4 linked regions of the Daphnia pulex genome follow. The protein of the gene in region 1 interacts with the protein of each later gene in a biochemical or structural test. Links are inferred from orthologs where the notes say so. Each region holds a gene or a part of one and is shown on either strand. Other genes may lie near its edges.

Evidence for each region. The genes of interacting proteins can lie anywhere in the genome.
Region 2: of the proteins of cullin-3-A-like (region 1) and COP9 signalosome complex subunit 5-like, one has a biochemical effect on the other in vitro, tested with the Homo sapiens proteins (2 studies listed by BioGRID). The link is inferred for Daphnia pulex from reciprocal best matches to the Homo sapiens genes CUL3 and COPS5.
Region 3: the proteins of cullin-3-A-like (region 1) and DCN1-like protein 3 form a complex in vitro, tested with the Homo sapiens proteins (3 studies listed by BioGRID, with this or other methods). The link is inferred for Daphnia pulex from reciprocal best matches to the Homo sapiens genes CUL3 and DCUN1D3.
Region 4: the proteins of cullin-3-A-like (region 1) and NEDD8-conjugating enzyme Ubc12 form a complex in vitro, tested with the Homo sapiens proteins (2 studies listed by BioGRID, with this or other methods). The link is inferred for Daphnia pulex from reciprocal best matches to the Homo sapiens genes CUL3 and UBE2M.

Annotation. Positions count from the first base shown.
Region 1 is NC_060026.1:11,981,844-11,985,855, forward strand, and holds the start of cullin-3-A-like, read right to left. Parts: upstream 2,801-4,012; 5' UTR 2,623-2,800; coding exon 2,557-2,622; intron 2,483-2,556; coding exon 2,285-2,482; intron 2,218-2,284; coding exon 2,032-2,217; intron 1,973-2,031; coding exon 1,769-1,972; intron 1,703-1,768; coding exon 1,523-1,702; intron 1,453-1,522; coding exon 1,258-1,452; intron 1,181-1,257; coding exon 833-1,180; intron 775-832; coding exon 667-774; intron 602-666; coding exon 360-601; intron 289-359; coding exon 162-288; intron 105-161; coding exon 1-104. UniProt on the Homo sapiens protein: Core component of multiple cullin-RING-based BCR (BTB-CUL3-RBX1) E3 ubiquitin-protein ligase complexes which mediate the ubiquitination and subsequent proteasomal degradation of target proteins.
Region 2 is NC_060026.1:5,023,679-5,026,812, reverse strand, and holds COP9 signalosome complex subunit 5-like, read left to right. Parts: upstream 1-1,238; 5' UTR 1,239-1,306; coding exon 1,307-1,446; intron 1,447-1,506; coding exon 1,507-1,741; intron 1,742-1,799; coding exon 1,800-1,994; intron 1,995-2,054; coding exon 2,055-2,252; intron 2,253-2,316; coding exon 2,317-2,574; 3' UTR 2,575-2,634; downstream 2,635-3,134. Other genes in the region: transmembrane protein 65-like, read right to left, coding at 2,970-3,134. UniProt on the Homo sapiens protein: Probable protease subunit of the COP9 signalosome complex (CSN), a complex involved in various cellular and developmental processes.
Region 3 is NC_060026.1:10,627,986-10,631,706, reverse strand, and holds DCN1-like protein 3, read left to right. Parts: upstream 1-1,298; 5' UTR 1,299-1,340; coding exon 1,341-1,440; intron 1,441-1,505; coding exon 1,506-1,676; intron 1,677-1,740; coding exon 1,741-2,027; intron 2,028-2,089; coding exon 2,090-2,361; intron 2,362-2,421; coding exon 2,422-2,584; 3' UTR 2,585-3,221; downstream 3,222-3,721. Other genes in the region: nucleolar complex protein 2 homolog, read right to left, coding at 584-752, 833-940, 1,014-1,037; uncharacterized protein LOC124205018, read left to right, coding at 3,632-3,657, 3,718-3,721. UniProt on the Homo sapiens protein: Contributes to the neddylation of all cullins by transferring NEDD8 from N-terminally acetylated NEDD8-conjugating E2s enzyme to different cullin C-terminal domain-RBX complexes and may play a role in the cell cycle progression by regulating the SCF ubiquitin E3 ligase complex, after UV damage.
Region 4 is NC_060024.1:11,931,767-11,934,612, reverse strand, and holds NEDD8-conjugating enzyme Ubc12, read left to right. Parts: upstream 1-1,169; 5' UTR 1,170-1,344; coding exon 1,345-1,447; intron 1,448-1,524; coding exon 1,525-1,619; intron 1,620-1,689; coding exon 1,690-1,896; intron 1,897-2,009; coding exon 2,010-2,123; intron 2,124-2,195; coding exon 2,196-2,222; 3' UTR 2,223-2,346; downstream 2,347-2,846. Other genes in the region: ran GTPase-activating protein 1-like, read right to left, coding at 25-159, 213-392, 452-639, 708-822; importin-7-like, read right to left, coding at 2,785-2,846.

The DNA.
Region 1 (4,012 bases):
TTGGGACTTTTGACAAGAACGCGTTGAGTCGGTTTGCCCATCGCAAGCGATTGCAATGCACGATCCAGATCTTTTTTCGGAACGTCAGTTTCATTCATGATATCCTATAAACAGCATCAAATATGATGAATAAGAAATCATTAAGTTCTACGTGCTCTTACTTCGTAAGTTAGCCTATCTCGGGTGTTAAACAGCATAAGAATACACATCTGATAGGTTGAAACGGAGATTATGTGTTTTCGCGGTCCATTAGCTGATGACGAGGGTGTTGACGAGCTGGGGCCATCACTTCATGGAATCAATCGAAACATTCGATAAGATATGCTCAGTATATAGAGACAACATATAAATGTTCTTACGTTTTTTCTTTTGTCTCAGACTCCTCTCGTCTAGGTCCATAAAAGATTGCGCTCAGATCAGCCGACCCTAGAGCGGGTTGTAGCGTCAACTGTCGCCCACTGTGCTTTGCTAAATAAAATCGGCGAAAGACCTCAAAAGCGTTGCGTGGTGCCAATGGTAGTGTACAAGTAGCTGACGATTGTGTTGGCCAGAATCCAGTTGTTAGTACGCGAACACTCAAGTCCACTCCGTAAAGGGAGGTCTAATCAATAATCGATGGTTGGAAGGCCGTTTTATAATTGCATTTTTTTACTGGATATTTCTTACCCCAGAAGTTTGAATGTGATTTTTGAAGTCTTCCATGAGCATGTTGGAGATAGACATATCCTTGAACATGCCCTCTAATTTCGAGGTAAATTGACACCCACATTCAGTCTAACAAAGTAATTAAAATGTTAGTACGAGCTCAATAAATTGGAAATGAATAAATTACCTTCAGCTTAGAAATCATGTTCTTCTCGCTATCATCGCTAACAGATTTGTTCAGCAGCAGGCGCTTGGCCAAATGTTGTTTATAATAACGCTCGAAAATATCCTTTTCCTGGAGAAAACGGAACAAAACCATGGTTTTGTCGAGCACCAGTTCTATGTCCTGCTCTGTCATTCCTTTAACGCCCTTCTTGAGCTTGTCATCGATAAAGAGTGATAGATATTCGGGAGATTTCAAATTCAAATTAAGAAAATATTCAAAATCTGAAGAGATCATTTTCTTAAAGATTGGATCGTTTACGAAGGATTTTCCCAGAAATGTATCATAGCGATCCTTAAGATCTAATAGACTCTATAGTGTCATTAGAAATCAAAATGAAAGAAATCATTATTACAGAGAGAAAAAAAGGTAAATTTTAATAAAAATACCTGGACAAAATTCAATGCATTGGCACCGGATTCGTCGACATTAACCAGTGCTTTGCCTTCTTCTCGTAAATGCGCGCTGACACAACTAGCCATGGTTCGCAAACCATCCGCTACACGACCCAACAACTTGTACATACAGTGTAAGTCGTCAGTTTTCTGGCATTTTAACATGTGTACTACACCAGAATTTTCCATCTAGTGTGAAAACAAGAATTATTTTTCTGTATAGCATTTTTTAAAACACACTAATCTAAGTTTTACACACCTCAACAATCGTTTTCATGTGTTTCTGTATAAGTTCCTCTTCAACTACTGCAACAATACGCTGCTCGGTCGACTCATCCAAATAATGTTTGGCTCTTTCCGATTCTTCATTAATGCGCGCCTCGACTTTCTTTATGTAAACTGAAGCTGAATTCTCCCCTAAAAACCGCTGACTCTCAGACTGTGAAAGCAAAGTAAAAAAATAATTAAATAAATTGTAGAAAAATTAACAACCAAGTTTTTGTACCCTGTAGAATTCTGCAGATTGAGAAAGAAAAGGTCTTTCAAAATCCTCTTCATAGACAGCTCGACTGTCTATACCCAGCACCATGAGCATTTGACAAGCTGCTCTAACAGAAAGCTTATCTGCAACTTCTCCTTTACGCTCTCTGACAACCATTTCCAAAAGAATATGCCTTAGGTGGTCACGAATGCCTCCATAACGAACAACCTTATAGAAAGTTCAATTAAAATCAAATCCAACAATAAACTATTGAATTAGGCACTTACTTGATCACGAAAAATAATCAATCCAAGATTGTAAACATTATCAACATTATTTTGTTGAACATAAACTCTGTCCATGTACATGAGGATGTCACGAATCATAACCATAGATGTTTGATGATCACTCCATGCTTGATTTAGAATGTGAAGGAAATTGTTGTTCAAGGAAGAAAGCACATCTTGACGAACCTATGTGAAAGTGATCAGGCAAAATCTTTAGTAAAATTGAAAATTTTTTGAGCAAGAAAGATATTACTTTAGATTCTAAATGATGAGTAACAACTTCTCTAAGGCCATTGTACAATCTCTCTCCATGTTTGTGTAGAACCATTGTGTATGCATTTCGGTAAAGTTCTTCAAAACTAAGACCAGAGTTATTCTTCTTCTGAATTTCTTGAATGGCATTCTTCAGTAAACTCCAAATATTTTCCACATACCTCTCGTCCATCGTCATCTTTATTGAGAAAAACAAGAAAACAATAACAAAGATATTCTAATGCCAGAATGAAGTGTTATAATAAACTTTACAGGGAATGCACGAATTCGCATTTTTCCTTCTTTCTTTGAACCGCCGCCGAGACCACCTTTCATCATCGTGAAACTCACTCAAATTTAAATAACGAAACGAAAAAAATACAAGTATCGGCCAAATATTGATAGTTCCGAAACCTTTAAAACGTTTCCATCAAACTAGTTGGCCCCCCTTGTAAGCAAAAAAAACAGGGCAACCTAAAGGCTAACCTCTCTTTCCTTCTCTTCCTCAGAAAACTCAACGTTGTATTTTGCCATCTAGCGGCTAAATTGAAACACATCCATCTGAAGGACAATGAAAAATGGAAATCACCTCCACGCATTTTTTATTCTTTTTAAAATACGCATCGACATTGGCCACTCGCAAGAAAAAGACTTTATTAAATATCATTGATAAAAAAATTATTCGTTTGTTTCATTTCCGTTCAAAAAATGCTCATAATAATAGCTAGGGTTAAGGGTTGGCAGAAAATTGTGTTGAATATTTAAAAAAAAGGCACTAAAAGTAAAAAGTCACATTCACTGGAGAACTCGTAATGAATTATGCGCTTTGAGTCAGACAGTAGCATGCTCCTTGCTAATTTTACTAATATAAATGTATTTATGCATATCTGTGCCTGCCACAGCGCCGTGCGCATTGTCGTATTCTTAGGGAAATCTTAGCTCTTATCTCTTATTAAAAAAGAAAGGACTTAGGAAGGACTTACATAATTCGTTGTAATCTCGGATTCAAATTCTCTCAGCTTCGTTTCATTGAAACCCAATATCGCAAATAAATTAAGAAGGATTTATGCTTAGCCACCACGACAACGTCCAAAGACTTATTTATATTCTGAATAAACTATTATATAAGGAAAGCTATAATCAGGAGCTTTGTTTAACTTTAGCCAGTTTACTGTTGTTTTAAAACCAAGAATATCCATAGACTAGAGGTTTTTATTTACTAAAATGGAATGAAGAATGGAGGATGGGGGAAAAAGTGTTAGATTGTCATTCATGTTCTTATACAAAGCACTTGTGTAGGTAAACATCCGATCGCTTCCAGTAGTTTCCACTACTTTTTAAAGGAATCATCATATCTACAAAGGCTAAAGACTCAAACAAGATGTAACAATTAACACCACACCACACAGCACACATTATGAATCCAAGCTTAGTTGGGGGCTAGCCATATTCAGATGGTTATCAATCATCTGAAAAAGTTCAGGGGGTTGAGGAACTCTACCAGTTTCCATTTTAGACCAAAGTGGAACATCTGTAACAAAAATAATGATAAGTAGGTAAGTTAATAGGGAAGTAATGAATTCAATGAAATCTCACCATTTAATGTGATTTCAAATGCTCCAGTTGAAATTAATTGGCCCTCAACAGCATTGCATAGAAAGAAAGTCATCAAGCACGCATAAAATTTGTTCTGCTGAGTCCACTCCCAAACTGAGGGAGTTTGCACACC
Region 2 (3,134 bases), about 7.0 Mb from region 1:
CTTTTTGATCTTTGAGAGGGAGACGGTCTTGTTCCGTTTTTGATTCCAAGTTGATCAAGTCCTTTAATTCATAAATACTTTCCATATCCTTCAAAATTGAACTTTGCACCTGTCAAGTAGGATAATAAAGCATTGATATAGGGTGAAAAAAGTATTAAGAAAAATAAAAATAAACCTTATTTTCAGTAAACAGCTGATTACTACACCATGAGTACCAGTAGTTTTTTGAAACTGCAGTTGCAAGGGTTGGCAAATGGCCCTCTTTCACACAGACTTCCACATCAAAGACATATGCATCCTCTTCTGGAAAATGAACTAGATCCATCTCTCCATTTTGGTTGTATCTTGTCCATCCAGGTGCAAAGTTCCAGACTTGAGGGATGTCTGGAATGCAATGTGATGTCAAATCTAACAATTTATTACGGTAACTTCCACATTGTTTTTCAGCAATTTTTTCAAAGTGTTCTGCTATGTTTTTTCCTAATAAAGTTGGGAGCTTCAAATCAATATCTGGGAGTTTACTTGGTGATTTGCCATAAAGATGGTGAATTGATAAATGCTGCTGAATTTTTAACAGCGTTTCTTTAGATACAGAATTGTTGTTTTCTTTTTCGAATATCTGTCGATGGATAGATCTTGATAACATTTGTATACCACACGGATTAATAGTAACACATTTGTTTGAAATAGATACTTCTTCTTTGCATTGGCTTTTTGTTGAAAAATGTATTCTATAATTATGAAGAATATTTAAACTAGATAATGAATATTTCCAAGGTATTTTCCTACGGTTATGTTTAATTTGCCACACTCGAAACGAAAGCATGTTTGGAAACAAGTTTGAATTTGTTTATCGGGCATCGGCAACTCCACGGTAAGAAATAGTAAAACGTGGGAAAAAGAGTAGATAGGGATTTAGTGGTGAGGCAATGGACAATGGACTAATGGAGTAGGAGAAGTCAGAAGTACTGAAGTAGCAGTCGTAGCAGACTAGGCAATCGCAGTCGTCCAATCCATCCCTGAGGCTGAAATCCTACGTTTTACTTTGTTCCTACCACCGCCGCGACCCGCATTTTACCTCTTCATTCTCCCAGCAGCTCCCAGTATGCCAAAGGCAAAACAAGACCCGTAGGTCGTAGTCTCGTAGACGACATCAACAGTCGATGAGATTTAGTTTCCGGCTGTACGTTTGGATTTGATATATTCAGCACTGGTATACCTCGTTCGAATTTCCCCATTTGGACTTTAGAGTGTCTTTTGCAAAAAGAGGTTTCAAGTAAAATTGGTTGTGTGTTCCACATCCAAGATGAGTTCACAATCTAACATAGCCCTGAATAATTGGCTCATGGCTAATAATGTGGAAAATATTAGTTCAGTTGACGAAATTTATCGATATGATAGAAAGCAACAGCAAGACATGTTGGCTGCTAAACCATGGGATAAAGAGTAATATTATTTTTTATTTTGTATCAAGTCATGTTAACAACTTTACGTTTTATGTTCTAGCCCTCATTTCTTCAAAGAGATCCGTATATCAGCCTTGGCATTGTTGAAAATGGTTACTCATGCTCGGTCTGGAGGACATCTAGAAGTGATGGGATTGCTTTTGGGCAAAGTAGATGCAAACACAATGGTGGTAATGGATGCATTTGCCCTGCCAGTTGAAGGCACAGAAACCAGAGTAAATGCTCAGTCACAGGCTTATGAATACATGACTGCTTACATAGAATCAGCTAAACAGGCAAGTACATTTGCTCTTGATCACATTTTTAAGTAACTAATTGGAATATGAGTATTAGGTTAATCGTCTTGAAAATGCCATTGGATGGTACCATTCACACCCTGGATATGGATGCTGGCTATCAGGAATTGATGTTTCTACCCAGATGCTTAACCAAAATTTCCAGGAACCCTTTGTTGCTATTGTTGTAGATCCTGTTCGTACTATTTCAGCTGGCAAGGTGTGTCTTGGTGCCTTCCGTACATACCCTAAGGTGAACAGATATATTTTTCTATCAAGCGTACAGAGTAGTTTACTTTTTATTTTTCCTTAGGGTTACAAACCCCCAAATGAAGAGCCAAGTGAGTATCAAACCATCCCACTCAATAAGGTTGAAGATTTTGGTGTCCACTGCAAGCAGTACTATGCCCTTGAGGTTTCTTACTTTAAATCAGCTCTGGATCGCCGTCTATTAGACTCATTATGGAATAAGTACTGGGTCAGCACATTGAGTTCTTCATCTCTCACCACAGTAAGAACAAATATTCAAAGCGTTATATCATGTTATAAAAAGTATTAATATCTCTTTTTATTAGAATGCTGATTATACAACAGGTCAAGTATCGGACCTTTCGGAAAAACTTGAGCAAGCTGAAAACTCTCTAGGACGGGCGGCTCTAGTCGGAAGCGGCGTTGGTGTGAGTGGCTCCAGCATTGAGGATAGAAGATCGGAAGATAGGCTAGCTAAAGCAGCTCGTGATGCTACAAAAACTTCCATTGAAGCTCTTCATGGTTTGCTGGCTCAAGTAATTAAAGATCGTCTGTTCAACCAAGTGCGTTCAAGGCCTGCGTGAACCATCTCGTTTTTCTAAATATCCTCTGAGAATCCTTAATAATAAACTGGCTTATGCATACCATTTTGTTTGTGTTTTCTGTGAATGAGTTACCAAGTGTTAGAATATATTGTATTGAACATGTAAAATTCTTTGGCTATATCTCTAATAATGGGGTCAAGATTGAACAGCAATTGTGGGCAATATAAATAATTGTTATGTGAAGAATCTCCACGTTAGTTCATCGGAATGCTCAAAAATGTGCAAAACAATAAGAATCGAACATTAAAGTTGCCAAGTCGCAGTAGGATCCATTGCCATTGCGCGGCAAAATGTCATTTTTATGAGTTTAAATAATTATTTTAGGTTCACGTATTTGTAAGGTTATAAGACTAATAATATATCGGACATGCCAATCACAAATGAGATGAAGGGTCCTTTGAATGCCGTTTGCTGTCAGATGTAGGTAAAAATAAAAGTGGTACCATTCCAAGCACACATCCTATAGCAACACCAATAGCACGTCCGATATTAATGGCCCAAGTAGTTGATCGAAAAGCATATTGCCGAGGCTCGAGATC
Region 3 (3,721 bases), about 1.4 Mb from region 1:
AGTAACACCGCTTTTAACTTACGCTAACGATGGACAACACGTGTCGCAGCCGTGTCTAAGAGCAGACGACTTAAAATGCTAGACTGTCATTTGTTTTTTTGGAAGAAAACAGTTTCGGGCAATTTCATTGGTTTACTGAAAAGCCGTCTGGATTGGACTAAAAAGTTTCAAATTTTTCCGTGTAAATCAAATATAGGTCTAAATTCTTAATTGTTTTGTTATTATAAATTTTTAATTCTAGACGTTTTAAACTATGAACAGTCGTTGTTCTATTTATCTTTTAAAATCTCATTCCATATTTAACTCTAACATTCCTTTTCTAAAAAAAAAGTAGTATCATATCATCATATTATCATAGTTTTAACCCAATTATTGTATGAAGTTTTTAACACAATTAACATATTTTATTTATGCAAGGCATATGTCATTAAAGAGCCTAAATGCATCATAACTGTAAACACAGTTAGGGAATTCTTAAATGATAGTGACACATGTGGTCTAATTAGATAATCAGAAAGCAATGTATTCAGCCTTTGACATTTCAAAACAATGAAAGAATTTGAGTTAATTTGTCAAACTGAACCCCTCATTGGAGGGGAGACCAGAATCACACCATCTCCACGTACAAAGAGCATGGGAATGTTGCGTTTAGTTGTTCTGTAAACTTCTTCATAAGTTTCTTCATCAATTTCAACAGTGGTTACTGTTTCTTCTACCTCACCTAGCACCATGTTCAAATGTTGATCATATGCCTATGGACCATAAACAATAATACAATATATTTTGGGAACACAATTTTATAGCAAAAAGCAATTTAATGTGCTCGACTTACATGTAGCCGGCCTCTCAACTCTCGTTCATTTCGCATTTTGACGTAAATTCTTTCATCGAGACTTAGGCGAATCAAATCAAGTGGCTCTTCCACAGTAATTACAGGGGCCTAAATGAAAGTGGCAATATGAAAGCTTGAATTATTAATTTAAAATTTAAAAAATGTGGAGTTGTATACATACTGAAGTTTCGTTTTCGTCCGCCATTTTGAATCTAGTGTAAAGTGTATTTTTCGGACGCAAGGAGGCTTTGTGATGCCTGTGTGCTTCGGACTAAACGTCACCCCCTCCCCCCACAAGTGTTTTGTGTGCCAGGGTTTTCCTTTCATTTTCTACATGATTCTCCTTTATATATTGGGTAGCTTTATATCTTACGAGATTTTCACGTAAAACGAGATCAGGGCTCAATGGTGATGTGCTAGTTACGATTTAAAAAGAAAAAGTGAATCGAAGGGAAGGGATTGAAGTTGTGAGGCTATAGCGCGCGATTCGGGTTTGTGAAATCCATCCATGGGGAATTGCTGCTCCTGTGTTAAAAGTGAGGCGAATACCAGATCATCCGTTGCTCCTGGAAATTATTCTCTTTCATCAAGTAAACTAGAAGACTCTGGTTAGTTGAAAATTTAATTTATAATGTACCTTTGTGTAACCCAATCCTTTTTCATGGTCACACAGATACATACCGTCCTTCACAATCGGAAGAGCTAGAGGACTCTAACCTGGTCATCAGCTCTGAAACATATGTGAATGGAAGTGGGTTGGACGCTAGAGACTCTAAAGGGGAGATGCGTAGGCCCTTTTATGTGCTCATTCCACCACTGGTTGGAAGAGGGAGTAATAGCTCAGGTGAATAAACATTTCTTTGTTATGAAGCCACCCATACACTTACTAAATTTTACATCTCAAACAGGTGATATTAAGAAGACAAACAACAATACCATCAATGGTGCATTAAGCACTGGTGGAATGGGGAATGGAACTAGTGCAGTGGAAGTGTCAGAAAACAATTTAGTGGCCTTCTATGAAAGCTACTGTGGAAATACTGAAGACAGGATTGAAGATGCCATAACCACTGATGGAATACTTCATCTGTGTGCTGATTTGGATTTAGCGGCTGACGACTTTCGTATTCTTTTATTTGCATGGAAGTGCGATGCAGCTCAAATGGGCAAGCTCAGCAAGAATGAATTCTTACAAGTAACAACACTAACAAATAATTTATTTAAAAAATTGAAATTAATGTGTAATCATTTATCCAGGGATGTCGACTATTAGGAACAGATTCGCCTCGTAGTCTCAAGTTCAGCTTAGAACAATTAGTAAAAGAAGTAGAGGACAGCGAAGTTTTCAGTGACGTTTACCGCTATGCGTTTCGCTTCGCTCTGGATGTAGAGTGTGGTCAACGCTCTTTGCCTGTTGATGTAGCCGTTTCACTTTGGCGGCTTGTATTTACTCATCGACCCGTCCCTCTCCTTGATCGTTGGATCGAATTTCTTGAACAGTCTCCTCCACCTGTTCGAGCTATACCCAGGTACAAATCACCAACAGTTGGGCATTTCAATGCAATTTAAATTTAAATTCTCTTCTTCAGGGATACATGGTGCATGTTTCTACACTTAGTGGACGCTGTGGGAAATGATCTTTCCCGCTACGACGACACAGAAGCTTGGCCTAGCCTTTTTGACGATTTCGTTGAATGGGCCAATGATCGAGCCAACCAAAATGTGCTGCACGCCAAGGAAGAACTACACTGATGGTGATCAACCCTCAGCTTCTTCCCGTATTCGTTTCGCTTTGCTGTATTAAGTTTTTCTCTCTTCTCACCTTGAATCGTTTCAGATGAGTGTATTAACTATGTGGTTTTTTAAGACATGATAATTGCTGATGGATGAGTGAGTTATTGAATTCGTATTTGTATCGGTTAGTTTACTTTGAATCTTCGTCCACCTTGACTCTCATTTATACTATGAAAACAATATCTGCTGTGATTCCTTGACGACTTTCGCCGTACAGAGTACTGACCTGCCAATGTCCCTCTTTTTTAAACGGCCCCTCTTGTTCACGTCTTTGAAATATCGTGTCTTTCTCAAACCACCTTTATTTTCTCCAATTGTTTATACTGTAGTTTGAGAAGAACTGTCTTTGATTGGTAACAATTTGATTGACCATGATTGCCACTCTAAAGAGTAGGTATATATTGGTATTTCTGTATACCCACCCTTTTTTCCCGAATGTAACGTACCGTAAGCCTGTTTGTGTGTTTATGTAAAATCGGTATTTTTCCTGTGACTGTTGATTGCTTTCTACTTGTTTATGTGCTATTCTTAGACCACTGTGGATGAAGACATCAATACAGATGTGAATGTAAGCCTTTGGCTTATACAGATGAAATTGTTTGTTCTTAGTTTGAAAACTTTGTAGTTAGTGAAGTGGCATCCTTATATAAATCCTCAACCAACCCAACATACATATATATTTAGTTTATAATTATTTTTATGTTGTTGTTTGTTAAAAAAAAGGAAACCGCAAACCAGCCGCAAACTAGAACTCAATAAACCAGATTTTAGAAAATTATAACCCTGTTCAGGCAGGCCTGTATCCCATGCCCATCCTCCGTTTCCCGTTTATTCTCCCTCCGACCCTCCCCCTTCTGAATCTGACCGCCAGGCGGCTCCTAAGTGATAGCAGACTACACTTGAAGACTAACCGAAAGAGAGAGAGTGATTTTCGCCGCTATTTCAAACAAGGCGTAATCTTTGTTTGGAATTTGATTGAAGGTCTTACTTTTCAATGTGCTTAAAATGGAAGTTGCAAAGCCAAATACCAGGTACTACTTGATAACTCATGGAATAAATGTATGCTGACTTATTTTTATATCTCTTTGAAGAACT
Region 4 (2,846 bases), on another chromosome or scaffold:
ACTGAAAATAAAAAAAACAGTGACCTTGAAAAATTCTGACAGAGCAATCGCTCCTTCATTTTCAAGTCGATTTCTTCCAACAATGAAGGTTTTCAGACTCAATGGAGAACCAGCCTCTTTACTGGCTTTAAGACAGTCATTTAAAGCTTGGGCAAGCATCTAAAGTAAAAGGTAGCAGTATTATGATTACAAATAAATGGAATTTTAGTTACCCGTCCACCATAAATTCCAAGGCCATTGTTGTTTAATCTTATACATTTTAGAGAATAGCAGACAGGGCTTTTCAAAAACTGAACAAGACCTTCCATACCAACTGGACCTAATGCATTATCACTCAAATCTAACTCAATTAAGTTAGCTTTAGCCAAAATGAGTCCTCCTCCTAAGAAACTCTATTTAAATAAACGGTGGTTAATACTGTTAATCGTCACATGCACCACAATCAAATTACCAAAGCTTTTGGAATTTCATCTTTCAACCGGCCAGTAAAAGCATCTTTCCACAGTGCTCTCTGGAAGGTTGGTTTGGATTCTAATGCTTTGGCAATAGCCTTGGCGGCTTCAACACCAAGAGTGTTTCCTTCAAGGATGAGACCTGTCAAACCTTTTGCAGCCTGAATTGCATTAACAATAGGTTGGGCTGTTGAAAAATTCCAATAAAAAGAACTTTAATCCCATTTATAAAGCAAACATAAAATCAGAACAAACCGTCGGCTTCCGTATCTAACTTGAGTCCTTTCCCGCTAAAATCTACTATTTCTTCTTTCGCATTCAAATTATTGGCTTCAGAGTCTCCATTAAACTTAGTCACTGCCCCATTCATTTCTTCGAAGTTGTTGGATGATTTTTATCAGGTTCAACCAAGATGACACTCTAAAGTGTAAGTGTAGTATTATTTTCTATTGAGACAAAAATTCACGTGTCTAATTTGAACGCTAACAGTCGGTTTATCGACTCCCTCGTACCCTCGAATTCCCAAGCAGAAATTTCTCTTTGTGCAGCGTTTTCACATTTCAAAAATAGGGTAGGCCTATTGACTTTAGAAAAATGAATTGTTAATTACTATTCATAACTAAATTTACACCTAACAGTATTTAATATTATTTTTAATTTAAAAAAATCAGTTGTATCAATTGGATTTCTGGCAGCATAAAAAAATTTATATGGAATTGTTTTTGACGTTTCTCCAACAGTCTGCTGTTTAGTCCTCTCAATCAGCAAAAATTTCCCATCTGTTCTGTATTGGGCCAAATAAAATCTAGACTGGTTCCTCTGTAAATATAAGAAGGAAACCCCTGTTAAGTTTTCCCAAATTTGTAGATCTCGTATTTGTGGAGCCGACATCATGATTAAGCTTTTTTCTCTTAAACAACAAAAGAAAGATGAAGTTCCAGGTCGGGCAGGAAATCAAAAGAAAGCATCCGCTGCCCAGCTGCGTATCACCAAAGGTCTATTGACTAAAAACAAGTTCTGACCTTGTGACCCGTGTTCCATTTATTTTAATATTTGTTATAATGTCTCGTAGATATTAATGAGTTAAATCTACCCAAGACTTGTCAAATGGAATTTCCTGACCAAGATGACTTGCTGAACTTCAAATTAATCATTTCTCCAGATGAGGTATTACGTATTATGAAATGCAAAATATTTATTTGATTTATAAAACTTTTTTATAATTATTCTGTTACAGGGTTTTTACAGAGGAGGGAAATTTTCTTTTAGTTTCAAAGTTGGTCCTGGTTATCCTCATGAACCACCCAAAGTGAAGTGTGAGACACAGGTGTATCACCCGAACATTGACCTTGAAGGTAATGTGTGTCTTAACATTCTACGAGAAGACTGGAAGCCAGTATTAACAATCAACTCCATAATTTATGGTCTGCAGTACCTTTTCCTGGTGAGCTCTTTTTCTCAGTTCATTGAAATCCATCTTGTTATTAGTAGTCCTAAATTCCCTAGAATTGATGTATGTTGGTTATTTTATTTCACTGTTCTTGTGTGATTTTCAAGGAACCCAATCCAGAAGATCCATTGAATAAAGAAGCTGCAGAAGTACTTCAAACAAACCGGCGATTATTCGAAACAAACGTCCAAAAATCCATGCGAGGGGGATATGTTGGTTCGGTAAGCTAAATTACTTTGAAATCATATTTAAAAATAACACAATCTTGTTTTGAACCTAATTGGGGAAAACAGGTTTATTTCGAACGATGCTTGAAATAACATCCGAATCAGATACAACAAAAAACGAATGGCTCTTTTCAACTTTGATTTCAAACGATTTTTAACATGGAAATTTTCATGTGCAGAAAAAATAAACATCCGCGTGTTTTGCGTTCCATCATTAGTTTTTTATTAAGTTTCATCATTCAGCTGTAATTTTTTCTTGAATATCCATCACCGTTCTTTACTCGATATACGGAACGATACACGGTTCAAGCAGAAGGAGGAAGGGAATGGATGACTAGGCTTTGCTACTGATGAGAATAGAAAGTATCGAACTATTCAGTGTTCCTACTTCCTACAAAGAGCGCATTATCAGCAGTTAGATTAACCTTCCCAAGCAAAGCCTAAATGCACAACACAAAAATTCCCCTCCAAAAAAAAGGCAACCAAAAAAACAAAACAAATGGGCAATTTAACCTAATCAGACAGATTCAATAAGAAAACCAGGCATTGATGAAAAAAGGTCAAAGCACAGCTATCAATAAATGTGATAGTGACGGATGTTATCAAATAGAACCATATTGATAAGGAATTATACGATAACGTTAGTAAGAAACATTCATCTGCTAAATGGTGAAGTAGACCCATTTCCTCCGAAATTAAAAGAATCGGGAACCGTTT